4 linked regions of the Notamacropus eugenii genome follow. The protein of the gene in region 2 interacts with the protein of the main gene of each other region in a biochemical or structural test. Links are inferred from orthologs where the notes say so. Each region holds a gene or a part of one and is shown on either strand. Other genes may lie near its edges.

What was found.
Region 1: the proteins of RPS6KA1 (region 2) and MAST2 interact in a test that uses a peptide from one of them, tested with the Homo sapiens proteins (2 studies listed by BioGRID and IntAct, with this or other methods). The link is inferred for Notamacropus eugenii from reciprocal best matches to the Homo sapiens genes RPS6KA1 and MAST2.
Region 3: the proteins of RPS6KA1 (region 2) and PARD3B interact in a test that uses a peptide from one of them, tested with the Homo sapiens proteins (2 studies listed by BioGRID and IntAct, with this or other methods). The link is inferred for Notamacropus eugenii from reciprocal best matches to the Homo sapiens genes RPS6KA1 and PARD3B.
Region 4: the proteins of RPS6KA1 (region 2) and DLG4 interact in a test that uses a peptide from one of them, tested with the Homo sapiens proteins (2 studies listed by BioGRID and IntAct). The link is inferred for Notamacropus eugenii from reciprocal best matches to the Homo sapiens genes RPS6KA1 and DLG4.

What each region holds. Positions count from the first base shown.
Region 1 is NC_092873.1:506,910,431-506,918,380, forward strand, and holds the start of MAST2 (microtubule-associated serine/threonine-protein kinase 2), read left to right. Parts: upstream 1-4,910; 5' UTR 4,911-5,309; coding exon 5,310-5,456; intron 5,457-7,950. UniProt on the Homo sapiens protein: Appears to link the dystrophin/utrophin network with microtubule filaments via the syntrophins. Phosphorylation of DMD or UTRN may modulate their affinities for associated proteins. Functions in a multi-protein complex in spermatid maturation.
Region 2 is NC_092876.1:67,582,606-67,589,619, forward strand, and holds the start of RPS6KA1 (ribosomal protein S6 kinase alpha-1), read left to right. Parts: upstream 1-3,971; 5' UTR 3,972-4,071; coding exon 4,072-4,134; intron 4,135-7,014. UniProt on the Homo sapiens protein: Serine/threonine-protein kinase that acts downstream of ERK (MAPK1/ERK2 and MAPK3/ERK1) signaling and mediates mitogenic and stress-induced activation of the transcription factors CREB1, ETV1/ER81 and NR4A1/NUR77, regulates translation through RPS6 and EIF4B phosphorylation, and mediates cellular proliferation, survival, and differentiation by modulating mTOR signaling and repressing pro-apoptotic function of BAD and DAPK1.
Region 3 is NC_092877.1:301,093,932-301,101,382, forward strand, and holds the start of PARD3B (partitioning defective 3 homolog B), read left to right. Parts: upstream 1-4,448; 5' UTR 4,449-4,595; coding exon 4,596-4,715; intron 4,716-4,721; exon of another isoform or gene 4,722-4,867; intron 4,868-7,451. UniProt on the Homo sapiens protein: Putative adapter protein involved in asymmetrical cell division and cell polarization processes. May play a role in the formation of epithelial tight junctions.
Region 4 is NC_092873.1:78,849,484-78,857,083, reverse strand, and holds the start of DLG4 (disks large homolog 4), read right to left. Parts: upstream 3,010-7,600; 5' UTR 2,887-3,009; coding exon 2,857-2,886; intron 1-2,856. Other genes in the region: ACADVL (very long-chain specific acyl-CoA dehydrogenase, mitochondrial), read left to right, coding at 5,922-5,983, 6,156-6,219, 6,564-6,635, 6,743-6,815, 6,910-6,974. UniProt on the Homo sapiens protein: Postsynaptic scaffolding protein that plays a critical role in synaptogenesis and synaptic plasticity by providing a platform for the postsynaptic clustering of crucial synaptic proteins.

The sequences.
Region 1 (7,950 bases), on a different chromosome or scaffold from region 2:
CTTTGGATTTCATGTTAGTATCAAGCTCTGTGCTCTTATGGAAGGAATGCCTAGGCTTATCTTCTGACTACTTTCTTGGAATTTTTGAGTGTTGTGTGTTATTCCAGGATTTCAGGGACAGCCAAAGCTAGGGCCCTGTAAGCTTTCAGTGTTCCCAAAGTGATCTGCTCCAGGACAAAGTCTGAATATGGACCCTTGTTCTGAGCTTTGCCAAGTTCCTGACCTGGGTTTGATTCTGAACATCACTCTTGTGGGCTTGTCCCACTTGAAGTTCCAGTAGACTGCTACTGGACTCAGCTACTATCAATTGGAAAGCTCAGCTGGATCAATGACAGAACAAAAGGAGTCCTTTTGGTCTAAAATTCCTGCCTTGTTAATTCGTCTGAAGGCTTTAGCGTGGCCTAGAAACTGGAACTGACACCCTACTCCACTTCTAGGGTCTATGTCCCATAACTACTGCTTGCTTCTTGCTTGATGCACAGTGTGGAAAAGGTTTTGTTATATTGTTTGAAAAACTTATTAACTAGAAAGTATTTGAAATCAGCAACTAATGTGTTGCCTTGACCTCAGTAACTCTCCAGGAATGTCAAGGAAGAGCTATAAGGGACTTTGTGTTTTTCCAGGTCCTGTTTTGGGTCTTCACACCTAGATCTTGTTTGGGGTCCATCCAGGCTTGTGTTTTGGTTTTGTCTAAATTTTATTGAACATTTACATTTACTCATATCCATTTCAACCTACCTTGCTTTTAAGCTGCTCTCTCAGTAAAATTGCTTAATTGCCTATGTGGGGTTTGTATGTGGGTACCCTAATCTAAACCCTATATAATGTAAGCCTTCTAGTGCCTGGGGAGAGGGAACCACACCTCCTTTCTGACTTGCTCTCCTCTACCAAGTAACATAATAAATTTCTTTTTAATGCTCATTTATATTTTGGATTTGCTTTTTCAAATAACAACAGCTTGGGGCTCTTGACCCCTCCTCACCCTGGAATGCCAAACCTGGTTGAAAGTAACCTCTTAAATCCTCCTTGGATCTGTGACCTGGAACTAGGTAGTACATGATAGTTGTCAGTTGGCACCTGTTCTTGTGCCCAATATAGGATTAGGGTCCTCTGTACTAGATCTGCCATCTCTTGCAGTATTGTATGGCCTCTCCCTGAGACAGAATGCTTTGTGTGGTATGCTATTATCGGCCAGACCCAACAACCCTGGGAAATAGATACTATTATCAGCCCCATTTTACAGGTGGGGAAAGTGAGGCAGACACAGGTCAACTGACATGCCCAGGGTTAGATGGTAAACATCTGTGTCCACAAACCTCTCTTTATTTCTCCTTTTGTTGACCTGGTGATTCACGGTGATTTTTTTTTTTAATTTCTGGATCAAGATTTGGTCTGGTGCATTTTCTAGAACTATTGCTTCCAGGATCAAATATAAAAATCTTCTGTTTTGACTTTTAAAGCCCTCTATAACCTGGCCCCATTCTACATTTCTAGTCTTCTTGCTTCTTTCTCTTCCCTTTCCCTCACATGTAGTGTGAGTGTAGGAGTACAGGGTGACTAGTACCTTTGGTGTGAGGGCTTGCTGAGTCCTTTTCAGGGCTGCTCATCCACCTTCGGTTCTACCTGCCACCCATCTCTCACCTATGACTCCAAGAAGCTGTGGCATGCACATCAGCCACATCCTGGTGAAACCATCTTGGCAGATGGGTTAAATTAAACCAGGTTGAGGGTAACTGATGTGCCTCAAATCTGTCAGTGGGTTAGAGGGGTATCTACCTCAAGCATGTGAAGACTTCCCTGGTGGAATAGGTGGATGTGAAAATATTTGTTCCAGTGCCCATGGACGCAGTGGAAGCAGGTGCTTGTAGAGACTTAAGAGCTTGGTTAGACAATGAAGAAGCAAGGGTCATCCACTTCATCCCAAGTCATCCCCAATTATCTTGATTTTGCCTTGCCACTGGACTCTGATGACTCTGGAAGAGAGCAGCCAACAACTTTGGTGCAACTTTGTGTCACTTAAATTCAGTTCACACATGTGCTAAAAGACATCACCCATACCATTTCATCATTTTTACCTACCTCAAAATTCTGTGGCAATGGGCAAGTGATGAAGCAGTAGGTGCAGATACTCTGGGAGTTGTAGTCATAACCCTGCATGCAGGTGGCTCAGGCCATAGGCTCATCTTCCCACAATGGACTGAGGCAACTGTGGAATCATCAGCCCCCCTGGGCCGATGTACTTCTCACCTCTTGGCATGAGGAAAGGGTTAGAAAAGGTCCCTTAAAAATTGTTGGCTTCACCTCACTTATGGGGATCCTACTCTGCGGCCAAAAACGTCTTCATTCTGAATGTTCGTACAATTTATGTCAAACCTGTGGTAGACCTTCTGAGCTCCTCTTGATCTGATCAGCCACAGTTGGACGTTATACATTGACCCTGACATAATAATGTCACATTGGTCCTCTTTGACTAGGAAGGACAATGACCAACCCAACAACCCCATGTATTCTGCAACCCAATGTCACTGGCCTTCTTGCTATTTATTCCTTCCTCTAGATCCTCTATCTCCTGACTCTGGGTATTAATGTCTCCAATGCCTGGAACTTGCTCCCTCCTTATTTCTGCCTCCTAATTTCCCTGGCCTACTTCAGGTCTCAGTTAAAATCTCACTTCTGAAAGAATCCTTTCTTGTGTCCTTCATTCCCCATCTCCTAGAGTCTTCCCTCTTTTGATTATTTCTGCTTTATCTTGTCTTTATCTTGTTTGTGCAGAGTTGTCTTCTACCTTTTGTATCTCCTGTGTCTAGCATAGTGCTTGGTACAGAGCAGGCGCTTAATCAGTGCTTGTTGTTGTTGTGTTTATCCTTTGTTTTTGAAGAAGACCAGGACCTCAGAGAAATGATGGCATGACTTGCATTTGCCTTTGTTTTGAATGAGGGAGGGCTGTGTAAGGTCACCAGCCTCACTTTCTCCTCCTCCAATGCTTGTTGACTGATTGGATGAGTGATGGGGTGTGTGTTCGTGCCTGCTATTTCTTCCTGCTACTCCACCATCTTGGTTCTGTCTTGTGCACATCAGATTTGAGTCTGACACTAAGCCAAGAGGTGGTGGTTGATACACAGGGTGAGAGAGAACAGTCAAGATCCAAAAGGATCTTGGCAGGCCAAAGCATGGGGCTGAGTCTTATAATATGCAACCCCATAGGGATAAATGTCATGTATTACAGCACAAAAATATGAACTTCACAAGTTAATATGGGGTGTGTGTGTGAATAGATAGCAATTCTGAAAGAGATTTGGGGATTTTAGTGGACTTCAAGCTCAATGTGAGTCAGGAGCGGGGATGGAACATCCACAATAGCTAATAGGATCCTGGGCTGCATTCAGAAGTGCAAAAGTTCCAGGAATAGGGAGGGCATGGTCCTACATTTGTGGGATGCCACATTTTTTAAGAACATTGACAAGTCTGACAATTCAGAGGAGGGCAACAGGATGGTACAGTCCACATCCCCCAAGGATCACTTGAAGATTTGGCACACTTAGGTGGGAGAAGAGAAGACTTGGGTGCCCTCACCCAATACATGACCTCATAGTTGTCTTCAAGCATGGGAAGTGATGGTGTGTGCAACAGGGACTAGATGTTCCGTTTGGCTCCAGAGAGCAGAACCCAGAGCACTGTGGGATAGTCAGTTTAGGCTCAAGGTCAGGAAAAATTTCCTAAACATTACATAGAGCTTTTGGGGAAGTGGCAGACTCCCCTCCGTGGAGGGCTTTGAGCAGACAGCCACTCACTGAGGTGAGTGGGTGGGAGGGCCTTTGTACACGGCCCCCTCCAGTTCTGACCTTCTGTGATTCTGAGGTCTTCCCACGACCCCCAGAGCGCCTCATTCTGTCATATTCCCCCTGCCACGGGTAGTTACTTTGTTTCAAGGTCTTTGCTACCCACAGGGTAGCAATGTGGCATCTGTGTGACTCACTTCCCTTCCGTAACTTAGTGCGGGAGGGCACCTGGGAGATAGAGCATGACATCCTGCCACAAGCTCTAAAGAGCCAGCCTGGCAGTGCCAAGCTGGGCCTCAGGACAGGCTGGTGACCCCACCACCTCCGCCCTTCCTCCCTCCTTCCTTGGATTTTCCCTTTCATGCCTTCTTTGCTCACATCTCCCCCTTAGTCTGGGGGCTCAGGCTTTCCTTCAGAGGGCCCCCCAGGGGGATCATCTCTGTTCTGTCCCTTCCAGGCCATGGGCAGGCCCCTTCCCCTCTCTGGATCTCACATCGGGGGTGGCTTTAAGCATCTTTCCAGCTCAGAGCGGCCAGTCCTGGAACACCCAGACACACACTTCAGGGGGTCGCGCTGACCCTCCCCTCCTAAGCCTTCCGTGCTTCCGTGTTCACGAACGGCCCCATCCCACCCAGTCAGAGGGAAAAATCAGGGAGGGCTTTCGGGGGTCAGCCACGGCCTACCCAAGGGGCCCTGTTCGGCTCGAGCCCAAGTGAACCAGGGCCAGGTAAGGTGGGGGGTGGGGGCGCCAGGTGCACGCTCCCCAGGTAGATACTCGGTACTCACGAGCCCAGCGCGTGGCCAAGGGAGGAAGCCAGTAGAGTGAAAGGCGTGCTAGCCGGCAATGCGCATGCGCAGGACGGGCGGGGCCTTACGGGAGTGGGTGGAATCTTAGCTTGAGTAAGCGTGTCCCGGGGGCGAGGCCCCGAGTGCCGGGGGCGGAGCTGGGCCCGTGCGCGTGCGCCAGCCACGGCGGAGCTGGGGCATAATAAGGCGGGGCCTGAGGGGCAGGGCGGGGTCTGCGCTGGCGCGCGTGCTCGGGGCGGGGCGACTCGGGGCGGGGCCTTTGGGGCTGGGTGGGGGTTTGCACCCTGCGCCTGCGTATGAGAGGTCCTTGGGCGGGTACGGGGAGGGGCCTGCGGATCTGGGGGCGGAGCTCCCGGGCCCGGCGCCGGTTGGGAGGGAGGCAGGCAGCCGAGAAAGCGCCGCGGTTGGAGAGCCTGCGGGAGGCGGTGCTCGCGCCCGCGTCCGTGCCCGCGCCCCGTCCCGGGGGCTGCAGGTCCGCGGGACCGGGAGGAGAAGAAGAAGAAGGAGGAGGAGGACGAGGAGGAGGAGGAGGAGGGAGAGGAGCCAGGCGCCCCGAGCGCCTCCGCCCGCCCGCCCGTGGGCCGGCCCGCACCCCGGCGCGGCCATGGTGGGGGGGCCCGTGGGCCCGGGGCTGTTTCTGCCTCCGCCGCTGCGGGCCGGGCTCGGGGCCGGGCTCGGGGCCGGGGTCGGGGGGCCGCTTGCCCAGCAGCCGACTCTGCTGCCATGAAGCGCCTTCGTGCCCGGGACAAGCCCGCGGCCCCCGGGCCGGCCCGCGCCGAGGGGGGGACCCCCAGGGCGCCCGGGGGCAAGGCCCCCCCTGAACCGCGAGCCGCCGGCTCGGACCCCGTAGCCCCCGCGCCTCAGGAGCAGGTAGGACTGAGGCCCGGCCGGGTCAGGCCAGGAGGCGGGGTGGGGGTTGGGGGAGCAGAGTCAGGGACTGGGGGAGGCAGGGGGAGAGGGCCTGCGGTGCCGGGGAGAAGGGGGGGAGGGGCTGGGGCAGTCAGGGACAGGGGGCAGGGGCTGGAGGGTGCAGGGGAGAGGGCATGAGGTTGGGGGGCAAGGGATTGGGGAGACAGGGAGAATGGAGCAGGGAAGGGTGACGGATGGGTGACTCTAGAGGGGAAGGGGGGCTGGGGCCTAGGGGATGAGGAAATAAATGCAGCTTGGTGCCCTCCTGGCGGCGGGAATGACATTGATAAGCTGGGCTGCGCTGGGGGTGGGTGCTGGAGCCCAGATGATGGGGGAGCAAGTTTGGTGTTGGGCGTGAATGAGCCCAGGTGAGTTTGGAGAGAGCTGTGGAGCTTTGGAGAGACCTGCTTCACACTGAGTTGGGTGGGACACAGGGGCTCTGAATAAATTTTCCTTTCTTCGAGGCAGACCCCAAACCAACTGCCAGGCCTCCCCACATTGCCCCTTTGGGTTCTCCTCTCAGGTCAGTAGTTGCTATGGAAGAGCTTCCAAGCTCCACAGCCCTCTGCAGCAGCATTGACCCCAAATGGTGCAGTGCCCATTATAAAGGCCATTCTCAAGGAGACCTGCACAGGCCCCTTTCTTACCTTCAGAAAGCTTATAGTCTATGAGCATGACACATACCATACAATACACATATTACCCTCACTTATAAATGAACCATAAAGTGTTGAGGTCTGGTATCCATGGGACTCTGGGGCATTAAGGCTGACAGGGGAGTTTGAATTCTGTGAGGTGGTAGAAAGAGGAAAGAAGGATATCTTAGAGGTGGAAGGGACTGCAGCCACCCCTGCCAGAATCATCCAACTGGTTTTCCTGGACAACAGACTGAATATTTCTGCTGCCTCGCTAGGCTACTTCCCATGGTTGGCCAGCTCAGCCACATTGTTAAGAGATGGTCCCTTCTGAGCTGAGCTTTCCTTCTCTGAGGACTGCCCATTGCTCCTAGTTAGTCAGTATTTATTAAGGGCCTGCTATGTGCTAGGTACCCTGCTAAGAGATAGGGAGATAAAAATAAGGCCTTCCCCCTGCTCCTTTTCCCCCAGGGCAATTCTCCAGGTATGTGAGATCTCTGGATGCCCTTCTTTGATGCCATTATCATTCAGTACCCTCCTCAGTTATGGCACCTCAGCAAGGTAGAGATTAGCAGGAGCCCCTTGGCTTTCTCCTTCTGAATGTTAGGGTTCTATTCATCTTTGAGAAGTGGCCAAGCCCTTTCCCCTGTTAGTGGTTTAGGATCTGTGGAGCTGGAAGGAACCTTTAGAGACCATCAAGTCCCAGCTTCATTTTACCGATTAAGAAACTGAACCCCAGAGAGGTCACATCAGTATCTGGGATTTGAGCCCAGGGTCTCTGACTCCACTGATAGCATTTTCTTCCCTGGTTTTCTCCCAGTTGTGACAAGGAAAAGACTTTGCAAATCTCCCTTTTTTGGTCCTGTGGCTTCATCTAAAAGTAAGGAGCTCCTGGGGAGGGCTTATCTTTAACTTTCCCTCTCAGTAGACCTTCAGAGCTCCTGGAGCCCATCTATGGTAATGGCTGGCCTTAGCTAAAGTGCTACTTCAGTGTCAATGATGATTACTTATGGGAATGGGCAGAATCTTGACACATCTTGTAATCATGACTATCCTTGGCTCAGAGGTGATATGTCCTTTCCTACAACCCAGCCCTGGACTGTTATCACCATATAGAATGGAAGCTGCTTGAAGGGCAGCTCTTGGGTCTCTGTAGTGCTTTGAAGTCCTGTGATACTTGACTCTGGGTTCAGTATCTTTCTTGGTAACTCACTATTGTGCTTCTGTCAGAGCAGGAAGAGACCTCAAAGGTCATTTAGTCCAACCTTCTGGAGCCCAGGGAGGGAGAGGAAGGGTCTTGGCCAGAGTCATGAAGATGACCAAGGTGCCCATTCCAAAGCCAGTGGCTGCTCCCTGGTCCTGCATCTCTTTTGCTGACAAAGTAGTTTGGATGTTAGAGTGGGGGTGGACTGGGACTAAGGGTTCTTGGGAAAAGATGGAAGGAGGGGAGGTTAAGGTCTGGCCTGAGTCACACTTCTTGTGGAGGTTAAGGTCAGGCTTTCAGCAGCTCCCATGGATGGTGGAGGCCGTGTTGATGGCATTCAATACTGGTCCTGGCTGTTTCTCTGACCAGATCTTCTCAGGGTTTCTCAGCTCCAGGCTTTTCCCCTGATTGTCCCCCGGATCTGCAATGCTGTCTCTTACCTCTGCTTCCTGACTTCCACGATTGTGTTCAAGTCTCAGCTAACATCCTATCTTCTAAGGAAGCCTCTTAATACTAGTTCCTCTCCTTTCTTAATTAATTAAGAAGCCTGTATATGGCTTTTTTGTACATAATTGTTTAAATGTTGTCTCCCCTGTTAGATTGCGAGCTCCTGAAG
Region 2 (7,014 bases):
AGAATTTGAACTCAGATCCTCAGGACTCTAAGGCCAGCTCTCTATCCACTATACCATGCTGCCTCTCTATATAAAACATATATGAGATAATTGAAGGGAGGTGTGAGGGGTGAAGGGAGTAGAATGTTAGTGCTTGGTGCATAGTAGAGTTGGTATTTTGAACCGGCTTTGCTTCCAAGTCTAACACTCTAAACGCTACACCACAGGATTCTATTAACCTTTGGGCCAGATGGAGGAAGGAAAAGATGGCAGCTTCTTTGCCCCTTTTGTGGGGTGGAAGTCTGCTCATGCTCCCTTTCCTCTCCATGTGCTCATTTGCACTTTATATCCCAAAGACTGGCATTTGTCAGTTTCATCCATCAGCCTCTCCAGTTGCTTCTTCCATCAATGACCTGATCTTCCTTTCCTCTTGTTGGCTTCCATTCCTCCTCAAACTTAAGACTCACAGGGGATGAGCAGGTTGCTTAAAGTCCTACAGGTAGTAAGTAGCAAAGTCATAATTAGAACTTGTGTTCTCTGATTCCAAATCCAGTAGTACTTCTCCTGGCTTGAGGAGAATGTATGTATACAGGTTTGGAGGTAAGTCTTTCCCTCTCCCTTTCAATTCATTCATAGGGGATTCCCAGGAGCTGGTTCCAGATATAAGAGGGAATACATGGACCCTGAGGAGGAGAGCTGGAGATACCAGGGTTGCATGGAGACCTGCTGAAAATCCTGCACATCTAGGTGTCCCCTACAGACAGCCATGGGCCTTGAGGAGCCAGTATGTGACTGAGACCCTGAGACCCTGATGGAGTCACATGGGGAGAGTGAGTCCTGTAGGGTATTGCATCCCTCAGACCCTGAAGGGATGAACCCTGGATGAAAGCAGTGTGGCGGAGAACCAGGGTAGAAAGAGTAGCATAGGCAAGAAAATGTGCACTTGGGGAACAATCCAGATCTATTCCAATCATCTGAACTATATAAATTTGGGGGTAGGTGGGAAGAAAGATTCCCTAGCATCCTCAAATTCTTTCCCCCGAGAGAGATGTTTGCTTATTTATGAGGGCAGGTATTAGCTCTTTCTGTATTTTTGATGTAAAAATAAAATCTTTTCAGTATTTGATGTTGTTAGCCTAAGTGCTTTCAGAGGAGCTAAGGGCCTTTGGGGGAAATCAAAATGAGCCAGAGACTGACATTTTCAGGATTTCTTTGAAGGGGATATAAGCCAGAGAAATTACATTTGGAAAACCCCTAGAAATAGTACCCATATCCTTTTATCAGGGAAACTGCCTTGACCCTAAGATTACATATGTCTTATCCTAACTAGGGGATAAATGGCTGCTTCAAGATCATTTTAGGAGAAAGCCAGGATGATCCCACAAAGAGGCTCCATCCTTCCCTTTTTCCTTACCCTCAGCAACATGGCCTCTTCCCTTAAAGTCAAGCCAAGTAGACTCTAATCAGGGACTTCCCAAAGTAACTTGGTGTGCCATGAGCAGAAGCAATCATGGTCCCAGATGCTTGTCGGAGACCAACCAGCACAGAGATATTGCAAGGGGAGCTAGCTGAAAGAACTAAAAGTCCCTATTCTCCCCTCATCTCATCAACAAGAAGGAGGGGGAGGAGATGAAGGAGAAGGAAGAGGAGGATGAAAAGGAGAATTCTAGAATGTCATACCTGACAGGGATTTTAGAACACAGATTGTCAAAGCTAGAAGGAACTTTAGAACACAGACTTTCAGAGCTGGAAGAGATCCTAGAACATAGACTGTCAGAGCTAGAAACAACTTTGGAACACAGAATGTCAAAGCTGGAAGGGACCTTAGAATACAGAATAATAATTTGGAAGCAACCATAGAAGATAATAAAAGCTGATATGTATATAGTGTTTGGCAGACATTATCAGACCTGATCCTCAGATGAGGAAACGACTTACCCACGGTTGCCCAGTATCTGAGACAAGATTTGGATGCAGGGCTTCCAAAGTCCAGAACTCTATCCATTATGCCCTAATGATTCTAGAATTAGAGGGGCTCTTAGAATTGAACGTCAACCCTGAGGAATGGACTTCAGAATATGGTATATCCAAGTTTACAGGGAACTCTGAACCTAGACAATGGAACATAAAATCTTCATGAAGGGAGAGACCTTAGAACATAACATATCAGAACTAAAGGGACCCTTGGAACATAGAATGTTAGAATATAGAAGGCCAAAGCTAGAAGGGACTTTAGAACCTAGAACCAGAGCTGGAAGAGATTTTAGAAGAGAAATATGTCAGACTCAGAGGACACTTAGAATACAGATCGTTAGAACACAGAATGTCAGAATCGAAAGTGCTGTCATTTTGTTGCCAGGCTAAGACCAGAATCCTCACTGTCCCCTCCTCAAATGAATCTTCTAAGTCACAAAGAGAAATCACAGTTTCCTGTAGCTTAAAAAAAAAATACATCTGAGGCCATCACTGTGAGAAGACAACACATTGTTTCTGGGAGGGGAGGAGGCTCCTGGGAAGATGACTAAGAGCTAACTTTTCTCTCTGGCTTTTGGAACTGAGTGTGATAGGATATAATGAGCAGTGAGGATACTGGACAGGGAATCCAGGGATCTGGATTCTAGTCCCACCCCTTTTCTTGCCTTGTTGTATGACCTTGATCAAATTGTTTCAACTCTCTTCAGTTTCATCTGTAAGATGTTGGGTTAGCTCATTTCAAAGGTCTCTTCCTGCCCTTGTCAGGGTCCAGATTTTAAGATCCCTTTAATTCAGCTAGACATTTGTAAATGGTATTCTATGTGCAATATACAGGGTCAGAGGATGGCTTAGCATTACCACTCTCCTTTCTGACCTTCTATGTGTGTGCTAGGGTTCTAATTCCTGCTCTCACATTCCAGAAGGGAGTAGGTTTAGAGTCAAAGGGGGCTCGACCCTCTTCATTTTACGAATGAGGAAATGAAAACCAAAGAGGTCAAATGACTTGTCCAAAGTAGAGTTGTAATTGGACTTCAGGTCTTTGACTCCAAAACCAGTACCTGACAGGGACTTTAAAGGGACTCTGTCCACTTTAACTTTCAATTAAGGTACCTTCCAGGTCAAGTATTCTTTGTGCTCATTAATGACCCTGTCTTTGGTACTCTTTTATGTTCTAAAGTTCTTTCCTGCTGGAAAGTTCCATGTTCTAATAATGTCCCCTATAGCTTGGACATTCTTTGTTCTAAGATCCCATCCAATTCTAACAGGCTATGTTTTAATGGTGGGATGTTTTAAGACTTGGAATAAGTACCCACTCTCTCTCATCCTCCACCTCACCCAGTCTTGAGGAAAGATGCAGGTCTTGCCAATTTTTTACCAGGGGAGTAGGGGAAGGATTGTCCCCCAGGAGAGATTATATACCAGGACTAGTAGGGAGGGTGGGGGCAGGGGTGAACCCTGAATCCCTACTGCTCCTCTACCACAGAGGCCACAGACTTCTCTGAACAGGACAACTTGTGGACCCCTCTCCGAGGAAAGGAGTCACTTCAGGGACAGGATGGGTGAAAGGAGGGATGACACCCAAGATCCCAGTCTCAGACTCTTATCTGGGTTCCCCAACCTCACTCTTGGCCTGAGAGCTTTTTGATGGGGGGCCCTTGGACAAAAGCGTCCACATCTGGAACAGAAGCTCCCCAGATATGCTGAAGGGGGGAGGGGAGAGAATGGCCCCAGAGGCGGGGCAGTGCAAGGGTTAATGGGGCTGTGGTGGTGAAGGAGGAGAGCGATCTGGGGACCCCCAAAGGAGCAGGGGCCAGGGCCGAGAGGGACCGGGAACGTGCATGGGAGTGGGAGGGGAAGATCACTCCGGGAATGCGGCGCCCGGGTGGGGATGGGGGGAAGCGGCGGAGGGGGAGGGGCGAGGGCGTGGCCCAAGCTCCCCGCGGCCGCAGGTAGCCAATGGAGCGGCGGGTCCGGCGGCGGCGGCGGCGCCCCGCCCCCTGGGGCAGCGCGGACGGAGGGAGTAAGAAGTGCAGGAGCGGTGCGTGGGGTACTGGGCTCGGGGCGCGGGGCGCGGGAGCCGGAACCGGAGCCGCGCCAGCCCGGAGGGCCGCCGGCACGATGCCGCTCGCCCAGCTCGGGGAGCCCTGGCCGCTCACCGAGCTGCTTCCACTGGATCCCGAGGTGAGCGGGGCTGGGTGTCCCGGACTCTTGTGTCCCGGGGCTGCGGCGGGCGGGACCTCCCGGGATCCGGCCTGGGCTGGGCAGGCTACAATGGGAGCCCCCAGCCAGGGGCAGACAAAGACGGCGCTGCAGCTGGGGCAGGGGGAGGAACAGCTGGATCTCCCCCTGACCCCTCCCCCCGACCCCCCACTCAAGCAGCATCGCTCTTCCCTCCGCACCTCACGAGCCACCCGGAGCTGCCCTCTCCCGGAGAAACCCAGAGCTAAGGGGAGAAATCTGCCCTTAAGACACGCCCCTCCATCCCGTGCGGCTCCCCCGGCCAGAGAGTCCAGGGGAGAGTCCGTCTGGGCGGCTCCCTGGGGCCAGGTGAGGGAAGAGAGGAGAAGGGGTGCCCAGAGCTGGAGTTTGAGCCTTCTATGTGTGTTGGGGAGGGGAGGGCTGTGAGAGAGCTGATCGAGTCCTGGGAGACCTGCCCCACCCCTCATACTCACACACTTTGGGGGAGGGGGGCGTCGCTCCAGCAGGAGCTCTCCTGAACTCCCCCAGTACCACCAGGTAGGAGTAGGAATGCCCGGATGCCAGAGTGCTGGCATGAGCTATGGAACCGTCGATCCAGTAGTTTTACTCTTCTGGCTTTAGCCTGTTCCCAAACAGGTCTCTATTCTACTCGTTCCCGGCTGCAGCTGGCCGCCCAAGGGCTTGTTCTCCCCATCCTGGGGAGGCGCCTGATCTCTGCCATATCAGGCTACTCCTCTTGGCAAGGCTGCTCCAATTAAGTCCCCCCTGAACCAGGGGATGTCCTTATGGGTCCCAGGAACATTGCCAGTGCCTGTTTCCGGCCAGTGGTTCCTATGATCCTCCCTGCAGGGGCCAGATTTAGAGACCTGTCACCTCAGGGAGGAGGGCACCTTGTTTCTAAGTTTTACCTCCAACTTACTCTATCTTCCAGAGTAGGGGAGATGAAGTCCTTGGGCCCCTTTAAGGTGACTTTTGAGAGCTCAATTTGGACACGATCTGTGCTTCTCTAGGGCTGGGGTAAGTGAGGGCTGAGGAGAAGAACACCCAGGGCTAGTAAAACATAAGATCTTAGGTCCAGAACTAGGAATATAGCCTTTCTACTACCACCACCACCCTTACCTGAGGGCACAGTATTGGCTTCTACCCCTCCCTCCTGTTTCTGGAAAAAAGGCAGGCTTTCCTGGGGTATCTCTCCTTCCCCTCTTCCCAACTTAAGAGGCAGCTTTTGTCCCAGTCCTTCTGCTAGAGGTTAGCCCAACTTGGAGAGGACTTGGGCACCAAAGCCTTAGTCCCCAGGTACTGTTGCCTAGCTGGGCTCAGGCTAAGAACTGGATCACCACCAAGCTTGATGCTCTGGGGAAGCTGGGTGAACAGGCCCTGGGCCCTAATTCCCAAAAGAGCGGAGCAGGAAGAGATATCCTCCTGGCTGCTGCCCTGGCACGTAGGGCCCAGGGGCCCAGATCACCTGCCTATCCCTGCATGTACTTCAGTGGGCACCTTAGCAGGTATGATCCCTAGTTCTTCGAGTTCAGGTCTAGGCCTGAGGGAAGTGCTGAGTGCCCCCCCCCAGGTCATCCAGAGGGGTCCCTTGGCCCCCAGTGTGGCTGGCTGCTGCTGGGCCTTTAAAGGGGGTGGCAAGAGATTTGGGGGTGGGCCTTGTAGGGGGATTAGGTAACAGCCCTGAAGGAGCAATTTGAAGTAAATTGTCCTGGGATTCTTGCCATGAAGTTTTACAGGCCCAGTATCACCGTCCCGCTGACTCACCGGCTCCTGAGGAGAGGTGAGGAGCTGGGGCTGGCCTTGTTTCTGCTCCTTTCTCTCACCATGCTGGGGGGAGGGGAACAGGTCCCAGGGAGCAGAGGTGCCAGGGTGGGGCACGCCAGGCCAAGGGAGATGGATAAGGTTCCTGCCTCGGATTGATCTTTGTACTTCTCCTAAGGGACCCAGGAGTCCTGACATATATAAAGGGAAGCCCTTTACATTCACTTTCAGGGACAGGGGAAGGACAAGGACTGGCTAAGAGGGGGAGATGGCACAGTGTCTAGCCTTGAGGTTGTGCTGGCAGGGAAGGGCTCCTGGTCTCAGCACAGGGCTCAAGCTTTCCACCCCCATCCCCCACTCTAACTTCTTTAAGGAATCTTGCTCAGAGATCAAGCTCTTGCCAGAAACTCCACGTTAAGGTCCCAACTTGGGGATGGCTTGCTTTGAAAGGGGAGTAACATGGGCAAAATGGTGGCAGAGTTAGCCATCCCTTTGGGTGCAGGGACTCTCTCCCTGCATCCCCATACATTGAGTGGTGGTAGGGAAAAGGCGGAGTGGAGAATTCATGTAGAATTGGTGGGGGGAGCTAGGAGATAGCCCTACAGTGAGTTAGGAGACTTGGGTCCTAATGCCAACTCTGCCAATAACTAGATTATCTCGCTATTGAGGGGTGATGAATATAACAAAGGACCTTCATTCAAATCCTGCTTCCTCATCTATAAAATGAGGGCATTGGACTAGGTGACTTCCAGGGCCTCTTGCTGATCTCAGTCTGTGATTCCACTACCAAGTCATTTTTCTGGGCTTTGCTTTCCCCCTGTATAGAATCAAGGGCTTGAGCCCTGCCAGTTTTATTATCAACAGTTTTATAACTTGGGTTCTCTTTCTCACTTTCTCTTTAATGCACAAGGTAATCTTCAGCCAGTCACTCTGCTTCTGTTTCTGTTTCTTTTGAGAGGGTTGGGGTCTTATCAGCCAAGGCCAGGACCCCTCTTCTCACCTTCTCTCAGGAGCATTAGGGATGGCCATCCCAGTCAGATATGGGGCCGGCCTTGGGACAAAGGCACCCATCCTGGCCCTCCTTCCCCTACCTCCCGAAGT
Region 3 (7,451 bases), on a different chromosome or scaffold from region 2:
GGCATGGATTACTATATGTTGTAGCTATGTTTGTGATATTGATTGTTAACATATGATAAACTGTTTTAATGTATGCCATGATAATGAATACAAAAGTTAAATGCTGCTTTTTAATAATCACAAACTATAAACTCTGAAATCTTTCCAAAATTACTAATTTGGGGTCATATAAGATCACTCAGTGATTAACATAATTACTTAATTCATTAATGTGTTACTTAATATGTTCTGTAATCTCAATGATATCACCATCTCCCTTAGGAACCTAATCCAATTTTCACAGAGGGTAATACAGAGAATTTTGGATATTTTCCATTATTTATTCTGGGGTCTGAGACGCTCTGGGAATATGTGTTGCAAGGGAGTAGTTAAGCAGGAACTTGAGAGACTTTGTGGAAATGAAGGAAGCAGGAGGTGATTGTAAAGGGGAGAAGAGAAGAACTGATAAAGTTGGAACAGTATAGTGGTAAAATATATACACATATATACACATATATACACATACACACATATACATATGGAACAAAGGGTATAAAATTATGGAGGCTTTCCCTTTGTTGTTTCTCCTAGCTCTTCTCTATCTGCATTTTACTTATTATTGTTCAATTTACTTATAATTATGATTATTATCTACTTCTTACTGAACATCACATCCTCTGATCACTTCAGTGAGTGGTCACTTTCCCCTTCTCTAGACTCATGGCCTGTCTGACTCAGTACACACTTAACATATTTTCTACACTTAACATATTGCTTGCATAGTTACATAGCATTTAGCTTTTCATCTTGATGTCTTTTCTCCCCTAACTAGTTTATGTGTAAGAAATTTTTGTACTTGTTATTTTAGACATCAGCCTGCCACAAACAATTTTAATTAATTTAGATTATTCTAATCTAAGCATTTCTTTTGAACAAGAGACAAGACCAAAGACAGGCTGATTCCTGCTAACAGTCTTTCTCTGACAAGCTATTTTTGAGTTAAAATTCATAATATTCCTGAACAAAGAAAATTTTTCAATATGATCAAGTGCAGTTACAGACCTCAAAGTAAAAGATCACTTGACATTTTCATTTTACCTCATTAAGCAGAACAATCATCAATCCAATTCAATCCAATAAACATTTAAGAAGCACCTACTATGTGTCAGGCATTGTGCCAAACGCTGAGGATATAATTAATAAAAAGACAGACGGTTCCTGCTCTTAAGGAGCTTATGATATTATAGGAGTAGACTACACACAAAGGTGGAGGCTGGGGCACCAGGAGTGAAGGCACCTTTTTCCATTTTGTTTGATGCAGTTAAACCAGGCAAAGTGGAGTGAGCCACTTAACTTTCTATACACTTTTGGAGGATCATTTTCTTAAAATCACTCATCCTATTTGACCACCCACTTTTAGGCGGTAGTTTTCGATTTTTGTTTCAGGACCCTTTTATTCTCTTAAAATTATTCAAAACTTCCCCACAAGACCTTTTGTTTAGATGACTTAATCTGTGGATATTTAATCTTTCTCCCTAACCTGAACCCTGCTTTTGGCTCCTAGGTTCCAGATCCCTCACAATTCCAAGGACTCTTGTTCATTTCCATGTTCTTATTTCAAATCTTTTTTGTAAAGAAAGCTCTTCCCTCCCATGGAAAGGATGAACAGAAGAAGAAAAAGAAACTGAAGTGTCTTACTAATATTATGAAAATAATTTGGATCTCATGAACCCTCTGAAAGTGTCCTTCAGACCACACTTTGAGAACCATGAACCATTACTTTCAGGATTCTTTTTTTCCAGCTGTTTAAAGATGATTTCAAGATATACCTCTGTTAATAGAAGTAATCAAAGCCTTCTTCCTTCTCTTGGTCTGATAATTCCTCTGATCATCTTGTAGAAGAGTCCTTCCTAGGCTCATAAGGAAAAAGGGGCCTGGAGTGAGTAATTAGATGGTTCAGCCTTTGATAAGAGTGATTGAGAAAGATTTTAGTGCTGGACAGTATTTCAGAATTGGTAGTTAAAATAAGGGTTCTCTTTCAAATTAGTCCAAAGGCTTTAGACTAGAATAATTGTAAAATACTTTCTTATTATGTGTAAAAGGCAGTGTGTATACATATACATGCATATATGTGCATATATACACATATGTATATATATATACACATATATGTGTGTATGTGTGTGTATGTGTAGTTTAATCTATTTTCACAATTAAAAACACCTTCAAGAATGGCTAGACTTGATACTAAGTCACTTGGAAGCTAAGATGCCATCCAACTCTGTAACCCATGATATGAGACTATGTTAGGAACTCTTTGTATCCCCTATAGATCTTACACAGTGGTAGTCCCACAGCAGGTCTTCAATAAATAATGGAAAAAAAAAAAGAATGCAAAATCAAGTTAGGTGATTAAGGCTTCTCCAAAATAATGAAATTTCAAAAGTCAAGCTGAAAAGGTTTCAGAGCTATTATCTAATCACTTGTACATCTGTCTTAGACTGTTCACTCAATGCAAATAGTTTATGGGTATATCTGACAGTAGGAGCAAATCATTTTACAGAGAAATATTTTCTGTTCCTAAGTTTTTTGCTGATTAGGTATTTTTCAGTTATCCAGTTTTCAATGGTGAAGAATATATGCTTTGGGAATCATTCTTCTAAAAGTCTTTTTTTTAAATTAGTTTCCCAAGTTAGATGTCAGTGGAATACACTGGGTTCAGAAGACCATGTTTTAGTAGGGAACTGGACTTGGAATCAGGAAGGCTTAAGTTCAAATTCAATTTTAGATAATGACTAGCTGCTGGACCCTTGTGCAAGTCATTCACCTGCTCTCTGACTCTAGCACTAATTAGTCACTAGGACTAATCTGCTAAATCATAGAGATACCAATCTGTAATTTCCCTGGAGAACAGTTCCTTCTACTAAGGAATTCATGGTTTCTTCCCTTTCTATGTGTATGGCACATCTTGATTCTGCCCTAACTAGCAGTGTGACCTTGAACAAAGCTTTTGGGTTAAAATCAAGGGTAACCGCTGTTGTTATCTTTTCAAATTATCTCCCCTCTATGCTGCAGTTTTCTTACTTGTAAAGTGAAGAAATTAAGACTAGAGCAGGAGTAAAATAACCATGGATAGATTTGCAGAGAGGTTTGTGAACTTGGGTGGGAAAACAATTACAACTTTATTTTCATTAACTTTTGATTTCCTTGGCAATCCTCTGTATTCTATTTTGTGGATTTAAGCACTTTATTCCAGAAGAGATCCATAGGCTTCACCAGACTACTATTGGTCCATGTTAACCAAAAAAGGGTACAAATCCTTGACTAGATGACTTCTAAGGTCCTTATTAAATTAAAAAAAAAAAATCCTGTGATTCTATGTCAGTGTTACTCCTATTATGGTGGGACTGTGAGTATGGTCTCTTAATAGGACCTCAATACAGGTATGGTCCTTGATGTCTGGGCTATTTATTTGAGTAAGGCCAGAAGCACCTGTTCCATGTGAACTCCTTTCAAAGGGGCGTGTGTGTGTGTGTGTGTGTGTGTGTGTGTGAGAGAGAGAGAGAGAGAGAGAGAGAGAGAGACAGAGAGAGACAGAGAGAGACAGAGAGACAGAGAGAGACACAGAGACACAGAGAGAGAGAGAGAGAGAGAGAGAGAGAGAGAGAGAGAGAGAGAGAGAGAGAGAGAGAGAGAGAGAGAGAGAGAGAGAGAGATGCAGCTTTGCCCTCTTGCTCCCATTCCCCTAAGTGTACTGAAGAGATCCGGTTTCAGTTCCCAGGGGTGGAAGCCTGGGCTCCCGTTACCAGTCCCCTGGGCTGCTGCGTGTCCGCGTCCCTCGGGGTGTAGGCAGCTCTCGGGCTCGGGTTACCAGCCCCGCACCTCCAAGCCCGCGCCGCGGTGCAGCGGGGCGAGGCCCGCGAAGGAGCCGGGGGAAGCGCCGCGGCCCCTTTAAGAGCCGGGGTAAGGCCTGGCCCCCGGGGCTGCGGGGAGCGGGGAGTGCGCGGAGCGCGGCGGCGGCAGCGGAGCGGGAGGAGGAGGAGGAGGAGGAGGAGGAGGGACGACTTCGGGACCTGGGCCACAAAAGTTTTCCCGCCCCCTCCTAACTCCGGGGCACGACCCCCTCGGGCATCGGCGCGGCCCCCGCGGCCAGGGGGGCCTGCTCGGGGCCGGGAGTTTCGGTTTCACGGGGCCGGGACATGAGGAGGAGGAGCCGGCGGCGGCGGCTCGGCGTCCCCGAGCGGCTCGGCCTGCGCTTCACCTGAGCGCCGGCCGGAGCGGAGCCGGGCGCCCCGGAGCGCAGCGCCGTGCCAGCCCGGGGGCAGCCCCTTCGCGCGGCCACCTCCCCTGCCCCGGGGTGCCGCGCTCCTCGGCCCCACGTGCCCAAGCCCCCCGCGGGACGCGAGGAGGGCGGGGAGCCCCGCGCACCCCCAGGTGGGCGTGCCACCAGGGACGGGGCGGACACACCTGTTCCAGCGCCGCCCCGCTCCCGATCCCCTTGACCTCCGGCGTTAGCCCGGGCCCCCGGAGTCCGGGCAACCCCGCTCCCCTCCCGCCCGCCCTGCACTGTTGTTCCGGTTGCCGGGCTGTCCTGCGCTGGTGACCGCTGGGCGAGGATGAAAGTGACCGTCTGTTTCGGGAGGATGGGGATCGTGGTTCCGTGCAAGGACGGGCAGCTCCGTGTCCGAGACCTCACGCAGCAGGCTCTCCAGCGCTACCTCAAAGCCAAGGAGAAGGTAAAGCCGGCCTTTGGAGGGGGCACCACTCCGGGGGGCTGTGGAGCAGGAACAGGGAAGGGGTCCCTCCTCCTGACTCCTCACGCTGCCTTTGTGCCTGGGAAACCCCGGAACACACCTGACACCTGTCTAATGCCCTGGGTGGAGTCCAGGTAACCCCCTGAAACCGAGATCCAAATGCTGGGAACTCCCAGGCCTGTCAGGGCATAGGTCACGCAAGCAGAGTTATTGGCCATACTCAGCTTTTGTGATCTGCATTTCATTTCACTTTTTTGGAGATTTTTGGGTTTTGTGGTTTAGGAGTGTTATGGGGATATAGACTAAAAAGATCCGGGATTGACCATAATACTTTTTCAGGCTCTTTTTCTCTTCTTCTCCGAGGAAATTATTGGTATCAAGAGTTCATTTGGTCTAGGTAATAAATGTTTTTGTAAGTAGTGTTTCAACCTCTCATTAGCTTGGTTTTCAGTGACTTCCAGAAACTCTGGTAGGAGAATGAAGTAGTTACTTCTACTGTCCCATTCACTTTTTTTTTTTTTGAGAAAACGGTTCCAGAAATTAGCGACAAGTTAGAACTAGTGTTCTGTTTCCATACCATGTCAAGGTGTGTTAAACTGTGTTTGGAATTCAAAAAGGTAAGTTGAAAAATAAAACTTACCATGAAATAAACCTCTTCCTAAAACTGAGGCAACTAGGTGGCTCAGTGGGACCAGTAGTAGGGATAGATCTGAGTTCAAATCCTGTCTTAAACATATGCTACCTATGTAACTGGAGGCAAGTCTTCTGTTTGCCTTATCCATTGGAGAAGGAAATGGCAAATCCCTTCAGTATCTTTGCCAGGAAAACTCTGTCCACAGGGTCAGGCAGAGTCAAACAGGACTGAACAATAATTACCAGGTTTTCTTTTTTTTTTTCTTTTTTGCTTAGGGTACCTTTAAATTAATTATTTAAATATTTTATTAATGACCAACAAGATTTTGTGATGCTAGGAGTTAGTTTTCCAAGGTCTCTTAGAGTTCATTTTCTCCCACTTCTCCCTTTCCCTGCCACCATCTTTTTAAAACCAGATGAGTAAACTGAGGCTAAAAGAATTTAAGTTAATTACCCACAGGTCATACAGCTGAGCTGGGATTTGAACCTGGGTTCTGTCATACCAAATGAAAGACTCTTCCCACTGCATAAATCTTCTAACAAGACAGAATACATGTCTGATGTTCAGTCCAGTTCAGCATTTATTAAACACACTATGTTGCCAGGCATTGAAGCTACAAAAATTAAAAAAGAAAGAAGGAAAAAAAGAAATGGTTCCCACTTTCAAGGAGATGAAGTTCTCTCAAGGAGGAAAATGCAACATAGACAGTATATAGATGGACATAACACAAGTAAAGTAAGCATAGGGGAGATGAAAGGGCTCAAGGAAAATTTGAGGAAAGTGAGAACACTCAGGTGGGGTCAGGGAAACAGCCTTCATGATGGAGAGGACTCCTGAGCTGAGCTTTTTTGAAAGAAGACAAGGATTTTAAAGGAAGAAAATGTGAAGTCTGGAGATGAAGGAAAGTTTCTGTGAATTCAGTGGAGATGGCAAGTCTAGTTCAGAGAACAGCTAGACATCTACTTTGGCTGGAGTAGAGGGTGCCAAGCAGCAGGAATAAGGGTGGAATCAAGTTGTGGAGGCCCATTCTGGGTTAATGAATGCTATATTTCATCCTGTAGGAAATAGGGAACCCACTGAAGAAACTTCTTTAGCTGGGGAGGGTAACAAGTTTTGCTTGTATTTTAGGAAGATTGTTTTGGGCATCTTTGTGAAAGATGGATTAGAAAATGAAGGAATAAGAACAGGTGAAAATAGATGAGGACCTCAGTGAGAGTGATGACAATGAGAGCGAAATGAAAGGGACTAAAGTGAAGATGGGTCCATTTTTATATGCGTTCACCTCTACAGAGATTCTAGAACTAGAATATCTGACAATCCAGTCCCTGGAAGATATGGTTTCTAATTTCTTTAAATGTCCCCATAGCCATTTGGAATAGAAATGAAAGAACTTTATATTTTAAAGACCAGAGGTAAAGTGTATGACATATCTCTAAGAGATACCCATATATAACTTCATTCTCTGTCCACTAAAAGTAAATTCTCATACTGAATGGTATAGAAACAAAGTATTACTTTCATGAATATGTTCCACGTTGAGGATACATTTCATGTGTTTGAAATAAAGTCATACTTTGAAGAATAGCTGTCATGAACATTAGACATTGGGTAGATGATTACCACTCCCAGCAGGGGCAACACCCCCTCTCCCCAAAAAGAAAGATGTGTGAAGCACTCTGCTAGCTGTTAGGCCAAATGGATTAATTAGAACATGCTCTCCTTTCATATTGCTTATATTCCATTTGGGGATATGAAACATATACAAATACTTATGTGCGTGGCGGGGGGTGGTTCACCTGGGGCATGGGAACTTCTTTAAAAAGTATTTTGATAACTGCATTTCAGTATAATTGGTTTCTTTTGTAATCTTATGTTTCTCAATTTGTGCATTTTAATAGGTTTCACCAGACCTATGACCCTAAAATGGTTAAGAACCCAGTTAGGCATTGGATATTCAAAGAAGGCTTCATAGAGTTATGGCATATGAATTGAGTAACAAAGGCATTTTAGGGGTAGATAATGACATGAACATCTAATGTAATTTACCAAAATTTAGCTCTTTACTGACTAGTGGATAAAATCTT
Region 4 (7,600 bases), on a different chromosome or scaffold from region 2:
AGGCCACGCCTCCATCCCCATTCGCTCCCACGGCCTCACCCCCACCATCCCCCGTTCCAACCCCGCCCCGCCCATCTCGGCCAATAAGCAAGGGCTGGTGGCCGGTCCGACTCCGCCCCCGGCGTGCCCGAGTTGCCCAATTAGGGCCGCCCGGAGGGTTTAACTGCTTCGCGTCCGGGTCTCTGGCCAAAGTCAACCGCCCCCTCCCCCACGGCCCCGCCCCCGTGCTCGCGCCCCCAACCTCCGTGGGCCCCGCCCGCCAGCCTGCCAAGCCGCTCTAGTCGTCGCCGGTTACCATGGCAACGGCGCCAGCGCAGGGAAATAGGAGGTGGAACTAGGAGGTGGAAGGGGGAGGCAAGTGGGTTGGGGGCGGGGGCGGGAGAGACAGACAAGACAGACAGACAGACAGACAGACAGACTAGGAGATAGAAACAAGAGATGGAAACCGGCGTCAGGGTAAATAGACTATGGGAGAGAACCAGAGGTAAAGGCCTCCACAGGGCGAGGAGCCAGTGTACTCAGCACAAGCCGAAGAGTGCTGGGACACAGCGTCCCCTGCCGGCCTCCCCTGTTCTACCCCGGAGCCCGTGGACTGGCCGGGACTACGACTCCCGACAGGGCCCAGGGCGACAGTTCTAGTGTACTTAGGGGCCTTCTACCCCAGGGACTCATGGGAGTTGGAGTCCCACCTTCACCAGCGCTGAAAAGTTTTCGAGGCAAAGAAATCTCCTGTTTTCCCCTGAGCCACCTATGTGTCCAATCTCCCTTCCTCCTCTCTGTAGGGACCCTATGGCACCAACGTTCTTGGCTGTTGGCTCAGTTCTAGATCAGAATAAAGGGAGGCTGTTTCCCTGGACTTAGTGAACATCTTACAAGCCCAGGTTTCCTCCTCTTTCTTCTCTCATGCCTATTTTCCCATGCTCTCAGAAAGGGTTTGTACCCAACACCTCAATATAGATCTTTCCTTTTGCCTGTATCTATAGGAAACATCACCAAGGGAGGCATAGGGGGAGGGAAAGAGGGGAAGGGGAGGGGGAGAGAAGGAAGCATGTCCTCAAGTGTCCCTTGTTTGCTCAGGCCTTTCCCTCCTGTGTCCCCAAAGTGCTGGCCCTGGGAAAGGGCAGAGGGGGGAAAGGGGGAAGACTGAGAGACACAGAAGGGAGAATATGGCAGGAGAAACATGAGAACAAGATGAGGGGAGGTGGGGGGGACATCAAGGACATAAAACATGGCCCTGAGACACAAAGACAAACAGAAAAAAAAAGTGGCAGAAACAGGAAAACAATGAATCCAGGATAAGATCCCCAGAGAAAGGCCCCCAAAAAATATGTGGGGGGAAAGGTAAAGGTGTGAGGTGGGATAGCAGATGCTAAGACTAAGAGGCATCCAGGCTTGGTTTCCATGAAGTCCTTCCCATATCCTGTATCTTCCTGAGGCCCAACTCTATGCCAGCATGTGCACATGAACATCCATGTGCATATGGTGGGATATGTGAGTAGCCTTCCCCCTAGATGCTGTAGCTCCCACTAAATATAACCCCTTCCCCATCCTATGACTCACCCAGACCCTGCTTCCCCCAGCCAACACTTCCTGTCCCTCCTATTCCCCACCCTCCCAGCCAGCTACCTGCCTAACCCTCTACAGAGGCATCTAACCCCCAAATCTCAGATTCTCCCATGAGGAAGCCAGGTGTCCTTCCCCCACCACCACCACCCAGGCCATTCTGCCTTTCACAGACTGGCCCCTCCACATTCAGCTTTCTCTCTGACTCCCCCAGTTTCCCCCACCGCCCCCAGTCCCCTTCTATTCTACTACTCCCCCTCATTCTGCCTACCTTCAGTTTGCCTCCATCCCAAGCCCCATTCAACTCCTTAAGGCCTAGATCCTTTCCTTGGTCTGGGGGGGGGGGGGGTCACCCTCCAAATCCAGGGTGTCCTTCACATCCCTCCCCCTTAAGAGCCTGGTTGAGCAGGTCTGGAGTTTGTCTTTCCATCTGCTTTTCTCTCCCCTCTCTCTCCTGCTGGGGACAGGAGTGAGAGCTAGAGCAAAGTGAATGGGCAAAGGCAAAGGAGGAGTGAGAACACCTGCTTGAGGGTCTCCCAAATTCATCACCCGCATGATGCCCCAAATCAGCCAATTCCTGTAAGCCCATCTCAGATTCTTAGATTTCTCCTTGTCCTAGAGTTGGGGACCCAGTGAGATAGCACCCCAAATCTTAACCTCCTCTAGATTGGTTCTTTAAAATGGTTCCCAGTCTCAGGCCTTGACCCACTGAACCTTTACTACTCCCAGTCACCCTCATACTGAGTGATCCCCCAAAATAAGTATGGCCTCAAATTGTGGTAATATTCTTCCAATGAGCTTTAAGCAATTCCCCCAAACCCAAGAGTATCTCTCGAGGCCTCTCATTCTCCCCCAAAATTGACCTAGAGTCCCTAAAATCAAGCCTGCCTTCTCCCACCCTGAAGACCCCTCCACCCCTAAAACATGAACTTCTCTTCCAGTATGAGCCAGGCTTCCCCCAAGATAAGCATCCCCCATGTCCCCCGCAAATTCCAAACTGCCAGGCTCCCCCCAAGCCACAGAACCCCCCCCACATTTGTGCTCCATATAGACACTTGGGGAATCACTCCAGGGTGCCCCATGGCTGCCTCCAGTCTTCCCTGCATTATCTATATGCCTGTGTTTCCCCAATCCGGGGAGACAAATCCTAAGCACCCTACTTCTACTGATCTTTCCCTAATGGACCCTAGGCTCCAGATAAGGCCTACCTGGTACCTCTCTACAAACTCTGTTCCCCTTAGATATCAGCCTTTTGACACCCCTTTCTCCACACCCCCCCAATATCCTGCTTACCTTGGTTGTCACGATACAGAGACAGTCCATGTTTGGGGGGCTGGACGCTGTGGCGTGTGGGGGGCTCTGACTTCATTAGGATCTCATTCCCCCTTCAGCCAACTCTCCCCCCTCCCCCCTCCGTACCCCACTTTTTTTGGGGGGGCGGGTGGGGGGAGGGGTGAGGAGGGGAGGAAGGGAGAGGGAGAAGAGAAAGAGAGGGGAAGCGTGGGAGGGAGGGGAAGAGGGGCCCCAAAAGGTGGTCCCCCGAATAGAAGGCAGAGAGCTTGGGGGGTACCCACCCCAATCTCAGGAAGGGTGGGGGCGCAAGGGGCTTGAAGCCCCAGGGGCCGGAGGCTGAGACATGAGCTGGGGTGGGAGGGGGAGGGGAAGAAGGGGTGGGAGAAGCTGGGATGGGGGGGGTCTTGAGAGAGAGGCTAGGGAGGGTCTCTCTTGGCAGCTGGGAAAGGGGGAATGGGAAGGGGGGGTTGGAGGCGGCAGCCACGGCCAAGGGAGCAAGGAGCTGAGAAGGGAAGGCGAGAGAGGAGAGAGGAAGAGGGGGGAGGAAGGGAGGGAGGGAGCAAGGGATGGGGGGGGAAGCAAGGGAGGTTAACTCCTTCAGTGCTTGGGGGAGCCCGGATACACGGGGATGAGGATGGAGATGAAGGAGGAGATGAAGGCAGAGTCACAGACACACACATACGGATGAGGACAAAGAGAGAAACATACACAGGTCACAGCCAGAAAAACAGGCACAGTCAGAGTCACGGAGACGCAAGAAGAAAGGCATAGAGATGTTGAGAGAAAAGGATGAAGGCAGAGGAAAGAAAAATAAAGTAACTGACTGGATTTCTTGGCAGGGGCAATGGTATGGTGGGGAGCACCTGTGAGTGGGAGGGGACCCTGAAATATTCTTGAGGCAAAAGGGGGGAGGAGGAGAGGGAGATAAAGAGGGATTAGGAGCAGGATTCTGAGTCCCTGGCTGCCTGCACTGGGGGAACTGATGGCCTTGGCTTCCCTTTGGGGTGGTTTTGAGGAGGCAGGGAGGAAATGTGGCTATAACCAGGACTCTGTAGGGCCAGAAATGTGACAAGCAGAAAGACTAAGGGAGGAATGTAAGAGGAAAATATTGTAGGATGGAACCCAGATATTCAGCCAATGGCATCTCTGGCTTCAGGACGCAGGGCTTTGCACTCCTACCCTAGAACTGAAGTTTCTTGCTCCAGTTTCATTCCAATATTTCTTTTCCTTCTGTTGCCACACCCAACTTCCCTCACAAACAGATTTCCCTTAAGGATAAAGGTATTGAGACCCTTGCCCCAAGGCCCTTACCAGATGATCACAGACAGCAGCTTCATAATAATCCAGGATATCTATGAGGAACAAGTGGGAGTTGCCCAGTCATCTAGTTCTACGTGCCCTGGCTTTCCTTAGATACTATTCTGAATAGCACCACCGCTATCACCCCTTCCCCCTAATCAACCCTCCCAGGGATCCAGTAGTTTCAGTCCCTCTTCTACTTACCCAGCAGAGCCTGGAAGAGGTCACTGTGCAGCACTGCAAGGAGATGAGGTGCCCACTGCAAGAGTGGGGGAGCCAGAAGCCAAAGGGCCGATCTAGGGACTGGAGAGATGAAGACAGGATTATTGGGGTGGAAACACCGAGAAAGACACCTAGAGAAATACATGCACATCTCTTCCCAATCCTTCTCTACCCCTCTGTCCCTCTCACCCCAGTCATCGATAGAGGAATCCCATGTTCCAAGCTTCTACAGACCCTTAGAACTCCAAAACCTCCCCTCCAGAACCCCTGTCTCTAACCTCCTGGTTCCCTTGGCATCTCTCTCTGTCATTTTAATCTCCCTAATCCATCAGGATTTGAGTTAAGCCCCCTTCTCCACCCGCCCAGATTGTTAAGTAATGTAATTTCTCTTTCCCAGATCCTTAGGCATCCCAGCTCCCTTGTTAGAAGTGCTCTCTCAGTCTACTGAGCCCCCACCAGGTATATTTATGACATTATGGATGTCCCCCTTAGTGGGGAAAAGAAGAGAAGGTAAAAGGTAGGTCCTCTCTGGAGGAGGCTGCAACAGAAAGAACAAGGAATGAGGATCACTTTGCCCCTTAGACCTGACTCATGTGGAGATACAGCAAAAGAGATTCAGATTAGATTCAGGAAAGACATTCATTTAGGGCTGGAAGAAAATGGGTTGCGCGGTGAGGAGAAGATGTTGCTTATGGGAACTTCCTAATACTGTCTTCTCATTTCCATCTCCAGTTCCCATGATTGGTCTGTCTCTGTAGAAAAGATGATCTCCACAGTTGGACTAAGAAGACCCTAGAAATCCCTAAGATGATAGATATGTGCAGAGCTTTTGTGGTAGCCATGCTGAAATGACCTCTTGCCTTCCTTTTAACCCAAAGAGTTTTAGATGGCAATTCTAAAAGTCATAGGGACTTCTTATGTCTGAAGGGGGTGGTATGTGAGAAGGAGGTATTTGGAGCCTGTACACATACATACTTATAATTCTACTAATTCCCACTATGTGTGTGTGTGAGTGTGTCTGTCTGTCTGTCTGTCTGTCTGTGAATGGGGTGGCTTCAAGACACAAGACTGAATATAAAACACATCTGACCAAGCCTCTCAGACAAGAAAACTCTCAGCCTAGATTTTCTCTTTTTATCTCCAACCAACTAGAATATCCTCTCTCAGGTCTAAACTATATCCCTCTAAATTTAGCTTTTTTTCCTTCTCTCCAGCCCCATCTCATCATCTCCTGACCTTGCAAGACATAGATCGAGGCCTTAATGGAAAGCTGAGAGAAGGGGACCAAGGGGTACACTTGAATCCACTATTAAGGCAAGAAGAGCCCAGGGGGAATGGGGAGAGGATCTAAGAACCACACATCCCAGCATGCCTTGGGTGCAATAAACCCCACCTCCCTTCCCCAGTTGTATTCTGGGTGATGAGTCAGGGGTAGGGCAGGGCAGGAGCTGGGCAAATCTATGTATCGGGAGAGGGAGGAGAAGTGGAAGGTCAAAGTCAAGAGAGGAGTTCTTTGAGAGGCACAGGCCAGGCAGAACATCAAGATGCAGGCTGTGGGGATGGTCCACAGAGTGGGGCTCCAGATGCTGAGGCAGGGGAGGGCCAGGTGAGTGATGAGAGAGAAGGGGTCTGAGGAAGGTGGGGCAGGAACCCCTGGTTCTGAGGCACTGCGGGGGAGGGCAGTGTGGAGTTAGCATGGGACAGAGTGACAGTTGGGAATTTGGGGGGGGGGTAGTGTGAAGGGGTGCCAAAGCTAATCGCCCTGCACCCTTGCCCAGCCCCCAGAGCTGTTCACTTTTGGGCATGAAGGCTGCTCGTCACTACACCGACAGGGCCACAGAGGTAAGGTTGGAGAGCCTGCTTGGCCAGGCTGGGCTGGGGTGAGGTTGGGGACTCCCCCTGGCTGCCTGTTGACATCAAACTGTTCTTCCAAGTCACCTGCTTCTCTATGTGGCCCTGAAATTGGGGGAAAGGTCACGGGGAAGAAATTAGGTTAAAGGTTACAGAACGTACATTGCCCCACCTATCCCTTCTTAGAAACTCCCCTCCCTGCCCCTGGAACCCTCTCATCTTGTAGTTCTCCCTGCACAGGGACACAGAAAGAGAGTCAGAAGGACCCTGAGAGGCCATAGCTTCCTTGTTCCCTACAGCTCCCAGTGTTTTCTTCATCCTTCCCTTCTCCATAGGTGGTATTGGACAAAACAGGTTCAGGTTCCTCAATAGCCTCAGCAGAGGACAAAGGTAGCCCCAGTGTGGTGGTAGGTACCACCTGAGTTGAGTGATGGAGGGGGAGTGGGGCTACTAATGGGGGAATATTTCCCCTTCCATTCAACTTCCTGACATATCCCCTCTCTTCCTGTCCTAGGAGTCCAAGTCATTTGCTGTCGGGATGTTTAAAGGACAACTTACGACAGAGCAGGTGTTTCCATTCCCTTCAGGTAGACTGTATTCCTCTGATAGGTGGCAGGTAGAGGAAGAAGGTCAGCTTTCTTAGGGTGATATCCAATCTAACTGATCTCCTGATCCTTATAGTGCTGAAGGAGGAGCAGATGCAGTTTCTGAAAGAGCTGGTGGGGCCTGTGTCTCGATTCTTTGAGGTGAGGGCTGTGGATGGGGGTGACTAGATGGTGGGGAGGGTGGTTGCCATCATGTTTTTATTAGTGATTTACACAAGGCTTACCAAATTTGTGGATAAGTTGAATCAGGGAGGTGCAGCTAACATACTGAGTAACAAAATGAGGATCCAAAAAGTTCCCAATAGGCTGGAAAGAGGGACTAAATCTAGGATGACATTTGATAGAGGAAATTGTTATGTCCCACAGTTGGGTTCAAAGAGTCAGCTTCATGAGGATAGAATGAAGAGAAACATGGCCAGAAACAGTTTGTATGAAAAGATCTGAAGGCTTTAGTTAACTCAGTCCTAGTTACCAGGGGAAATATGGAGGCCTAAATCAAATCTGATCCTAAGATAGAAGAGTAGGAAACATAGCATCTAGAACCAGGGAGGCCCTGCTATGTTCTACCCTAAGTCAGTCAACATCTGGAATTTAATATTTAGTTCTAGATGCTGTGTTTTAGGAAGGACATTAACAAGTTGGAGTAAAACCAGAAGGTGGTGAGTGGGGGGATTTGAGAGGACAGGACAGGAAGCCACATCATAAAAATATAGTTGAAGGAAATAGGGATGGTTAGCTGCCAGAAAAAGAGGATTTATATATGAAAC